Linked DNA regions of Arabidopsis thaliana. The protein of the gene in region 1 interacts with the protein of each later gene in a pairwise test. Each region holds a gene or a part of one and is shown in the gene's direction. Other genes may lie near its edges.

Region 1 (4,644 bases):
TCTAGTATTTCCTGTCTTCCTGATAAAGATAATAATCATATAATATTTGGCTATTTGCGTGCCTGATCCTTTATCTACATGGTACGTAAACTAGCACTTAACGAACACATGTTGGTTTCATACGATCTAGTTAATTAAGGTGACTACATGCACTTACACAAAACTTGAATTTAAGTATTTTTATACTAGTGTCATAGAAATATCTGTATTAGTTTGGTGGTACAAAGTTAACATTAAATATGTTAATGCTTGGCTATTCACGAACATTTTAAGATTATATCGTATTATTCTTTTGGTGACTTTCTACATTACATTATAGTATTGACTGTTTGACTCCAAGTGAGTATTTAAATATGACCAAAATATCCATACGTTAGAAAGTTATACTTTTGTTTAATTTCTTTGTTTACCATATAATTTTGACTCTTATATTAGTAACAGTTATGTTTCTTCAGTTATTATATATATGAACAATGATATAAAGAATTCAGTTTTTTTTTTGTCAAACAAAGATCTTCATTCATTAAAATCTCAAAAGAGACAAGTTCATACACAATGAAAATAAGAAATTACAGGAAAATAAGGATAGAAGCTTCATGAGTTTTCTAATGATTGAAAAATCTGTTGAGGCCTTGGCAGATTCGACCATGAAGGCGGGCTTCGCGAAATCCTCGACCATCTTGTGGTCAAAAGAAGCTCTTGCAAACAATGCATCCGAGCTTTTGAAGAAGTGCTCCGTTGAGGAGGCTGACGGGTTAACGAGGTTGAGAAAAAGACGGTAACCACTTCTTGAAGACATGGTCATAATGCCGTACTTTTTCAACATGTCAAGAGATTGCAAATTATCCAAGCAATAGATTAACATGACATGAATGAGCGCGATAAATGGTGAGTGGATAAGTTGAGAGTTTTCAAGGCTTCGGTAACACCTACTCGGTAGAGACAGGGTCATAATGCCGATCCTCTTAACTCTAAAGGCCATTTGCCTATGGGTGGGTAAAGGAGTCTCGGATAGGGTCCAAAGAAAACTTAACATCTTATCTCGACAATGGTAACTACCATTCCCACCTAAACAAACCACTATTCTGATAGCAAGGCGTCCATTACCAGCCCAAACAGAGGTAGAGGGTGCTAAAAGGAGGGAACTCGATAGTAAATTAACGATACTTGGTGTGGGCAGCAACACTCTAGGACACTTCCAAAGAGAAAATAGCTCCAAACGATTCAAGACTAGACTCAAACACTGAAGAAAACGGACCAAACGAGATAGACTATCAACTAGGTTTTGTGAGAGAGAGCTACTAATCCAAGCTAAATCCATCATCACCATCACAGGAAAGCGTCCATTACTCTCCCTAAATGATAACAACATCAAAAAATTTGGGCTTTGTAAAACAGATTTGAAAACAGACCTGGGCCTTAGAGGATATGGGCTTAACCCAGCAGAAGGCTTCATGGGCTTTAATAGTTTAGGTAATGGGTTAGGGGGAGGACAGAAGGGGCTTGGGTTGGGCCCAATGCGAAAACCCTGAGGCAGCATTAGGTTTAGCCGCCAAGCGCATCTTCTCTTTGTCACCAACGACGACGGCGACGGCAAAACGGACTTAGGGTTTACAGCTGCCGAATTGAGGGCGTCAGAGACAAGATCTAACCAAACGAAGTTTGTTTGCGATGAGGCTCGGTCTGCAGAAGTTGGATCTTCCAAGGTAAAGCTCTTCAACAGCTCCGGCGTCAAAGCAAAGCTCCGATCCAGAGGGGAATAGGGAGATGCCGGTATTGACTTCAAGGGGAGCCGAGGAGAGGGATAAACCACGGAGGTCGCAAAGAAGATAAGGGGAGAACTAGCACAAGAAGTGAACGTGTTCAGAGGTATGGTGGTCAAGGTAATCTTTGGATACAAAGGGAGAAAAGACAAGCGAAACATGGGAACACGGGAGAATAGAGAACACCAGATGACATAGCCATTGAGAAGAGAGCGACAAGGGAACGATAGCTCCCGGCACCGGCGAGCAAACGGCTCTACCGGTGCCGGAATTTGTTTGGAAGCTTTGGCCTCGATGAGAGAGAATGAATGAAAAGAATTCAGTTTAAAAATGTCAAATTGGTGTTCTCAATTTTCAACATACCCAATAATACAACTAAACAATATTGAAGGCCCAATACCATATACACGATGGCCCATCTACTGCCTGATAGTATGTAGGGGGTATTAATGTCATTCCAACAAGTAGGGGTAGAATCGGTAATAAGGACACAAACTCGCCTCTTTCGCTTTGTCTCTCTCGTCTCTAAGCAGTAGCAGATCTGAGTTTTGGAGAGTTCAAAGGAAGAAGATAACTCCAATACCAGAGGTTCGTAACGATGTGAGATTTTTCTCTGTTGTTTATGAAGTCTTAGCTCAATTTGATCTTCCAATGAATTTCGTTAAAATTTGCTAGACTTCTATCAGCGCCTGTAGATCGATTTAGGTTATGTACTCTCATTCACATCGGTGGGAAGCGATCAATCTTAGAATCCACGTTTTATAATTTCTCGTTTTGATCTTGTTTTTTTCACAACTTGTAAACATTGCGATGTTGATTGTGTTGATTAATCGCTTAAAATTGAGGTCTGAGTTTAAATAATCCTTGTGCTTACCATATGGTCTTGGCTGTGATAATTTGTTAATTGTTCTGCTTAATAATCTAACACTTTGCTTCGGTTAATGTCTGGATCAACATGCTCATGGTTGTGTTCCCTGTTGATTTGTATTGTAACAGTGAAAGCATTCAGGAAACATGCCTCCTCAGAAGATTGAAACTGGTCATAGCGACACTATTCATGATGTGGTCATGGATTACTATGGAAAGCGAGTAGCAACTGCCTCGTCTGACTGCACGATCAAGATAACCGGAGTAAGCAACAGCGGTGGATCTCAGCATCTAGCTACCTTAACCGGTCATCGAGGTCCTGTCTGGCAAGTCGCTTGGGCGCACCCAAAGTTTGGTTCACTTCTCGCTTCATGTTCCTATGATGGGCAAATTATATTATGGAAAGAAGGTAACCAAAACCAATGGACACAAGCTCATGTCTTCACAGACCACAAAGTATCTGTCAACTCTATCGCTTGGGCTCCTCATGAACTTGGACTCTCCTTAGCTTGCGGAGCATCTGATGGAAACATATCAGTTTTCTCGGCTCGAGCTGATGGCGGTTGGGACACGACAAAGATAGACCAAGCACACCCTGTTGGTGTCACTTCAGTGTCGTGGGCACCGGCCACAGAACCAGGCGCACTCGTTAGCTCTGGTATGATCGATCCGGTCTACAAACTAGCATCCGGCGGGTGTGATAGCACGGTGAAAGTGTGGAAGTTCTCGAACGGGTCATGGAAAATGGATTGTTTCCCGGCTCTCAACAAGCACACGGATTGGGTCCGTGATGTGGCTTGGGCACCGAACTTGGGTCTCCCAAAGTCAACCATAGCCAGTGGTTCAGAAGATGGGAAAGTGATCATATGGACCATAGGGAAAGAAGGTGAGCAATGGGAAGGTACTGTTTTGAAAGATTTCAAAACACCAGTGTGGCGGGTCTCGTGGTCGTTGACCGGTAATTTGTTGGCTGTTTCCGATGGGAACAATAACGTTACAGTGTGGAAAGAGTCTGTTGATGGAGAGTGGGAACAAGTGACTGTTGTTGAGCCATAGATTGTTGTTTGTTTGTTTGGTTATCTTTTGTTTTGTGGTAATATCAAAATGTGGTGTGTTCTGTATACAATTTCTAGGGACCTGTTTCTCTCTATACGTTTCTCAGGAAAGTATATTCTTATGTATTTTAATCAGACAACAGAGATTGCAAAAGAAATGTATTTTTCATAAAACTTTTTAATTCCGATAATGAGTTTTTTTTACTGGTATGATGTTTTTCACATTTTTACCCTTTTATGAGATTCCGATTTTGGCGTAAATTCATTGTAGTTTATAACCAAAATTTAATTGATTTCAATATAAACTCATTTTTAACTAATTAATACTTTAAAAATTTAAGCCTGTTCAACCTTAGTTAATTGTGTTTTTAATCGATCAACTAATTTTCAACTCATTAACCAGCTCGTTTAGCCAGCCACTTGATAAATTTTAATGCTCAATTAGGCATAAAATTTTGATTTACGAAATTTTGCCGATGGCGCTCAAAAAATGCTAATCCGGCTCTGCATCGATTTATAATATTTACCCTTTCAATACTCCGTGTAGTTAAGAGGATCGAGGGTATTTGCGTCATTAACAGTGATAACAAGTGCTAAAGCGATGAATGAAGCGCCTATTTTCACAATTCGAAATCTCTCTCCCCCCGCTTTGGCCCCAAAAAGTTTTTTTTTTTTTTTTTTAATTGCTAAGACAAATATCCGAATCTCAGAAATTTCTCGTCCTCTTTCTCTGTTTTTTGTTTCTGGGGAAAATGTCTTCTGCGATTGTTGTTTCTCAAGATGCGGAATCGCTTGGTCTGCAAATTTATAGCCGCAAGGAGAAATCTCTTGGGGTTCTCGTCTCCAAGTAACACCTCTCTCTCTCTCTTTCACCAGATTTTGCTTTGTTGGATTTATGTGTAATTGATGTCTTATGTACGATTCAGTTTCCTGAGACTGTATAACCGAGACGATGTGGA
Region 2 (6,397 bases), 5.4 Mb from region 1:
TATCGAGGCTTTTCAGAATTCTGTATTGGGAAACAATGATAAGGATCCATTGAAGTTTCAGAGTACTTTAGCTGGTAAGATCACAAACCAAATAAAGAAATGTTTTAAGTGTAGAACATGTTTCTATGACATGTTTTTGGATATTGGACAGAAATGGGAATAGAAAAATCGATCTTTGTAACTCCCAAAACTTTCCATTTGACTGTGGTTATGTTAAAGTTAGAGAACAATGAATCTGTGGTTAAAGCTCAGAATATCCTTCAGGTATAAGTGATTCCTATTCTAAGAGACATAGTGTACTTGTTCTTCTTCTTAGGATTGCTTTGATGATTGAGGTGTTGTCTTTTTCTGAAAAGCAGAGTATTTTTTCTAATGTGAGGCAAGCTTTGAAAAACAGACCTGTCTTCATAAGACTCAGAGGATTGGTAATTGCTACAATTTCTAGTGGCTTGAAACATAATCTTTGAATCAATCCCAATGGTTTTTTGTCTTGTTAAGGAATGTATGAGTGGATCTTTAGACAAAACTCGCGTTCTCTATGCTCCTGTTGAAGAAGTTGGTCGTGAGGGCCGCCTGCTAAATGCTTGTCGTATCCTAATTTCTCTAAGCGCTTATTTTTACTTGTGTGAAGACATGACTTCAAATTACTATGCAAGTGCTTCTGAACTCTTTAACTCTCTAGTTTAGATGTTATCATTGATGCATTTGAGAATGTTGGATTTGCTGGTAAAGATGCAAAGTCACGCTTGAAGGTAATGCTTGTCACTTTTCTGTTGTTTACGTCTTTGACTAGGACAAAGAAAAAGATGGATATAACAATGTTTCAGCTTCTCCTTCATGCTTGTTCCTTATTTGCAGCTACACGCCACGTTGATGAATGCAAGCTACAGAAAAGATAAAAGCAAAAAGATGGATACTTTTGATGCTCGAGAGATACACAAAGAGTTTGAGAACAAGGATTGGGGAACATATCTAATCAGAGAAGCTCACATCTCACAACGTTATAAGTATGACCCCAATGGCTACTTCCATTGCTGCGCTTCACTACCTTTTCCACATAAGTGACATTGACAACGATCAAATCTCCTCCACATGATTTGCATTAGGAAAATTAATGTCAAAACTTAGGTAAGTATGGTATGTCACTGTGTAACTGTTTTTATATGTGTGTGTCACAGCGATTGGTAACTATGTGTTGTGTAACTTTTGTTTGTAAGTTAAGTTTTGGACAGTAATATTCTTCCTTCCGATGATTGGATTAGAAAATTCGTGAAAAGTGTTTGATTTTGTATTATTTCTGTTTATATCGCATGTTACTTCTTTTGGTAATTTTGTAGAATTGATGGTGTATTAGGGTTTACGAGTAGATGTTTTCTAGAAACAAAAGTATTTCTCCTAATGTGAGGCAAGCTTTGAATAACCAACCCATCTTCATAAGACGCATCCTTGAGTTATACATATTTAGTGGCTTGAATCATCTTTGACTTTGATTATCTATCCAACTTTTAATTCCTAAAACATAGAGATTCATAATAAATCTGTAACTTTAATTCGTCTCTTTACCAATTGAATGCCAAATCTAGATAGATCAAAAAGCGAACCAGCTCTTTCTAGACGAATAAGCTCTTTAAACTCTGTCGTATGTGTTGTTTCATAGGACCTTTCATCTTTTTCTTCTTCTCATAATTAGTTACCAGTGGCAAAAAGGGAAAAGTCTAAAAGGAACTCTAGAGTGAATTTAGTATGCAATTAAATAAATCATTTACTAGATAAGGGTTTGATTACAAACCTTAGGATAAATATTTGATTGTATCTCAAAGTATAAGAAATGTGTCAAGCAGATTCTGTGTTTTTTTTGTTTCGATTAAAACCGCTAAAACCTTGACAAGGTTGTCTCCACAAACAATATTCATATCAATCTCAAAGAATGCAACATGCAAAATGTTGTGCATATTGTTTGTGGAGGACCACCATCGTAAGAGGATTTATGTAACATAACTTAAAAGAAAGTGGCTATATATAACTTTTTTTGAAACCTTTTTCTACAAACACCTTGGATGTTCTTTAAATAAGATGAAAAGGCTATTATTCTAATGAACAACATGAAGCCAAAAGAAAATCCAAGGCGTTTGCAGAAAGAGGTTATAAAAGGCTCCGAAATATTTCATCCGAACCATAAACTTGTTAACACACCTAAAGAACAATGATGCAGTAATGGGAATGAATACACACGTCCATTTGACTGCTGTGATGGAAAGGATTTTATAAGGTGAGAAATTTTTAGGGTTTTGATTTTGAATAACTTAATTAGTTTTCTAAAAATTGAACTAAAAAATCAAAACAAAATCCGAAAGGAGGGGAAGTAAATATTTCTTTCGAAATTTGTGGAGATCTATATTTCCCTTTTCAATACTTTGATCTCGCTTTTTTTTTTTTGAAAGTATACGGTCAAATATATAATTTTCTAAACGTAATGGGGTTTAGCAGCAAATAGTCGTAAATACTGGCGGAAGAAAATGATATTTTACGGCTGAATCATCACCGGAGAATGAGAGGAAGATGTTCGCTTACAGGACTCTGTTTAGGTTCGTTTTCTCTTCAAAAAAAAATTGATTCTTTCTTCTGAATTCTATGATCTTTTATCAATCTAACAAAACCCAAAATTTTATTTTCTTCCTTGCGATGGTTGGATTAGAAAAATCGTTTGATTTTGTCTTATTTCTTCTGTTTATGTCTCATGTTGTTTGTTTTGTAGGATTGACCGTGTATTTGGGTTTACGAGTAGATGTTTTCAATCGAAACCGGTAATTCAATAATTTGTTGTCTCCTTGGCATTTTGTTACTCTAGTTTTTGGCAAGTGTTAGTCTTTGTAAGTGATTTGAGATTTTTTTTCGTGGAATTTGGATTTGATGTTTTGTGGCTACACCACTTCACATTTCAGGAATCTTTTAGTATCCTGAGCTTTAGGGGAAGTGAGAAGAGTGCCATGGATGGATATAAGAAGCAGAAGATGGTAAATTTAGTGTGGAGACCCATCTCCACTCAAACCTCTTCAGTTATTGCTGGTTAGGATCTTTAATTTAGCAGTTTAATCGAATATTCCATCCCGGTTTTGAAAGTTTCCACCTTTATGGCTTTCACATGATGAGACAGAAGCTGGAAATGAAGTCCAAGAAGTAGCTCAGTGTAGCAAATCAAGTGATGTTTCTAAGGAAGTTATTGAAGGAGAGACAGCTTCAGTTGTTTCAGCTGGAAAGCATTCAGTTTCTCTTGAGGTTCTTTGTTCCTTCTGTTACTTGAAGTTTCTTTGTGCTCTTTTGTTTCAACTACTTAACAGACTTTATGTAATTGGTTTCAGGTTGGGGCTTCTTTGATTAAGTTCATTAGAGGGAAAGAGTAAGAGCTCTAGTTTGTTAATCTTATCCTTCGAGGTATACTTACGTGCTAACGGGTTTGCATTCTTTGCAAAAGAGGAACGACGCAGATGAAACTTGAAGAGGAAATGGGAGTGAAGATCATTCTTCCATCATCAAGGAACAAAGATCATATCAGTAAGAGTTTTTGGAACCAACTGTAATGTATAGTTTGATATCTGAGCCCTTAATCCTAGCTGGCTGACTAGCTACCATTTTTAAACTGATTTTGGTTCACCAAATCTTGTTTTGTTGTGTCCTTTTTTCTTTGCAGGCATTGAAGGCGGTTCAGTGGATTGTGTGACTAAAGCTTCAAAAAGAATAGCAACCATTATCGATGAGGTCCCTTGTCGTTTCCTTTTGAACTTTTATTATCATACTCGGCTTTTTATTTTCCTTCTTGTTCTACTTATTTCGTTCTGATTGTGCGCTTTGGAATTCATATTCTAGGTTGTAAGGAGTCCAAGTCTCGACTACTCACACTTTGTATCACTTCCATTAGCCATACATCCTGAGTTAGTGGACAAGCTAGTGAATTTTCAGAATTCTATCCTCGGGATCCATAGCATAGCTAGTGATAAGCAAGACGACCAAGCTAATAGAGCAACCACAAGTGTGGCAGTTGATCTAAAAGCTAATAGTGAAACAAACCAGGTCAATGTGGGTATCAAGAGCATACCAATTGTCAGTTACCCGCCTAAGGCCAAATCAAAGTCATCTACTTTATTGGGTAAGAAAATACTGAAGTCGTTTGATTTGATCTAAGAAAGAAGATAAAGTGTTCCCTCTGATATGCTCAGTAACTTTTTATACATTGACAGACTTAGGAATTGAAAAGTCCATATTTATTAAGCCAAGTACTTTTCACTTGACTGTGGTTATGCTGAAGTTATGGAACAAAGATCGTGTCAATGCAGCGTGTGATGTTCTGAAGGTAATTTCTTTCTGAAGAGATGTCATTCATTTATTAGGAATGCTTAATGAAACTGAGTTTTCTCTATTCTACAATCCAGAGTATATTTCCTAGTGTGATGGATGCTTTGGATAACAAACCAGTATTCATTAGACTTAAAGGATTGGTAAGATGATACATCCTTAGCTTTAGTTTTACAATTCATTTATGTACTTGGTCAGCTTATTTCTATTCACTCATCTGTCATGTTGCTTATTTGCTATATTCTTAAGGATTGTATGAGAGGACCATTAGACAAGACTCGTGTTCTCTATGCTCCTGTTGAAGAAATTGGTGATGAAGGCCGGCTTTTACGTGCTTGTCGTATCCTAGATTTTAGTACGAATGTTATTTATAGTAGTGGCATGGTTAGACCGTTAAATTAAGAGTTTAGTGTAAATGCTTTCGATTTTCTTAATACCAAGTTCAGAAGTTATTACTGATGCATTTGTGAAAGCTGGGCTTGTTCTCGAGAAAGATGCAAAGCAAAGCTTGAAGGTAAAAGCTTTCTGAGTATGACGAGATTGTTGCAGTCACTTAACGTTAGCCAAAGGCTCAGAACTAATGGAATTGGAAGTAGTGAATCGTGCTTCTGTTTCATACTTTTTCCTTTCTTTGCAGCTGCATGTGACCGTGATGAATGCGAGGCACAGGAAAAGGAGGTGATTGATTCCCAACTCCAGACTTATGTTTAGATAAAGAAAACAATGTTACAAACCTCTGATTATCTGAAAACCCTTTTGGTCTCAGAAAGAACAATAAGAAGAAGATGGAGACGTTTGATGCAAGAGAGATACACAAACAGTTTGGAAACGAAGACTGGGGAGAATATCTGATCCAAGAAGCTCATCTCTCACAGCGTTTTGTGTTCGACCAGAACGGTTATTACCGTTGCTGTGGTTCAATACCATTTCCAGGAGAACAGAGAGCCTGAGAAGAATCATCTAACCAGCGGCCACAGTCTCAAATCTCAAGCATCTTCACAGGTTTTGGTCCCGTGGTATGAGCACTTACAACTTTGAGAAGAGAACCTGATAAAATTGTAAAGTTGTACCGGTCATCTTGTGTTAACCAAATAGTTGTCTTCGGTTTGGTTCTTTCTTGGTCTTTGTTCAATAAACCGAGCCAAAACGTTCTTGTACTCTTTCTACAAGGTAATAAAAAGGTTCTTAGTACATTTAATAGAAAAATGATTATTTACAGCTTTATTAGAGGCTATTGATTGATTTAGTAATGAACTAATAATGCAAGTCAACAGATCTAAAATTGGAAAGATTATTGGCAATGGAGGCAGGACAACGAAAATCAAGCATATTAAACTCTTTAAGATTCGTATAATTCCACCGGCCTAACCAAATCTCTAAGCAATTGTTGTTTATGTATTATAATATAGTTCACCATCTATTTAAGCTTAAACGAGTGTCTAATACATAGACGTATATGACAATTAATTAATGATCCGATCCAAACGACCCTTGGCGTATTTGGTAAGGTAGCAGTGATGTGCTTAATTATTAACCAACGATGTACTGAGTTTCTAGAATTAGTAAGAACCATAAGAGTTTTAAAAAGTGTAAAACGTAAAACATCAACACATGTCATTCCAGTTAACATACATATATCTATATATATGTTAACGTGTTTGCATAATTTTTTTAATTAGAGAAAAACAGCACACTATGCAAAAGATCGTTCATATATCTAACGTGTGATTTAATCGATCTAACAACTTTTTATTCCCTTTTATATTACCAAAATATTTATTTCCATTGATCATATATTTGAAGTAGCAAAAATTGGTAAAATTTTAGTTAAAAATGAGGGAGATGAAAACTGATATATTATGTAAATCTCAAGTTTTTGTAATGCATAAGAAAAATGTTATCACCATTGCAACTATCCATGGTAGCAACCGTATATCTCAGCATATGATACAAAAAAAAAACAAGAAGAAGCTCATATTCAAATTTCTTACGTTCAAACGAATAACTTGATTGCTAAACAACAAATCTAGATAGCATTGGATTCATC

What was found. Proteins that work in one complex are often made in the same cells at the same time.
Region 2: the proteins of AT3G01340 (region 1) and AT3G16230 interact in a two-hybrid assay, tested with the Arabidopsis thaliana proteins (one large-scale study listed by BioGRID).

The regions. Positions count from the first base shown.
Region 1 is NC_003074.8:126,599-131,242, reverse strand, and holds AT3G01340 (Transducin/WD40 repeat-like superfamily protein), read left to right. Parts: upstream 1-2,248; 5' UTR 2,249-2,351; exon of another isoform or gene 2,352-2,363; intron 2,364-2,759; 5' UTR 2,760-2,777; coding exon 2,778-3,686; 3' UTR 3,687-3,888; downstream 3,889-4,644. Other genes in the region: AT3G01345 (uncharacterized protein), read right to left, coding at 524-1,924; DEL3 (DP-E2F-like protein 3), read left to right, coding at 4,438-4,532, 4,612-4,644. UniProt on the Arabidopsis thaliana protein: Required for protein transport from the endoplasmic reticulum to the Golgi apparatus.
Region 2 is NC_003074.8:5,498,004-5,504,400, forward strand, and holds AT3G16230 (Putative eukaryotic LigT), read left to right. Parts: upstream 1-2,050; 5' UTR 2,051-2,269; intron 2,270-2,363; exon of another isoform or gene 2,364-2,487; 5' UTR 2,488-2,559; coding exon 2,560-2,585; intron 2,586-2,615; exon of another isoform or gene 2,616-2,755; coding exon 2,756-2,804; intron 2,805-2,942; coding exon 2,943-3,066; intron 3,067-3,133; exon of another isoform or gene 3,134-3,154; coding exon 3,155-3,276; intron 3,277-3,359; coding exon 3,360-3,397; intron 3,398-3,472; coding exon 3,473-3,552; intron 3,553-3,688; coding exon 3,689-3,756; intron 3,757-3,864; coding exon 3,865-4,144; intron 4,145-4,235; coding exon 4,236-4,348; intron 4,349-4,427; coding exon 4,428-4,493; intron 4,494-4,599; coding exon 4,600-4,690; coding exon of another isoform or gene 4,691-4,752; exon of another isoform or gene 4,753-4,796; coding exon 4,797-4,864; coding exon of another isoform or gene 4,865-4,879; exon of another isoform or gene 4,880-4,987; coding exon 4,988-5,028; intron 5,029-5,116; coding exon 5,117-5,300; 3' UTR 5,301-5,570; downstream 5,571-6,397. Other genes in the region: AT3G16220 (Putative eukaryotic LigT), read left to right, coding at 1-74, 152-264, 360-425, 499-589, 688-752, 859-1,065.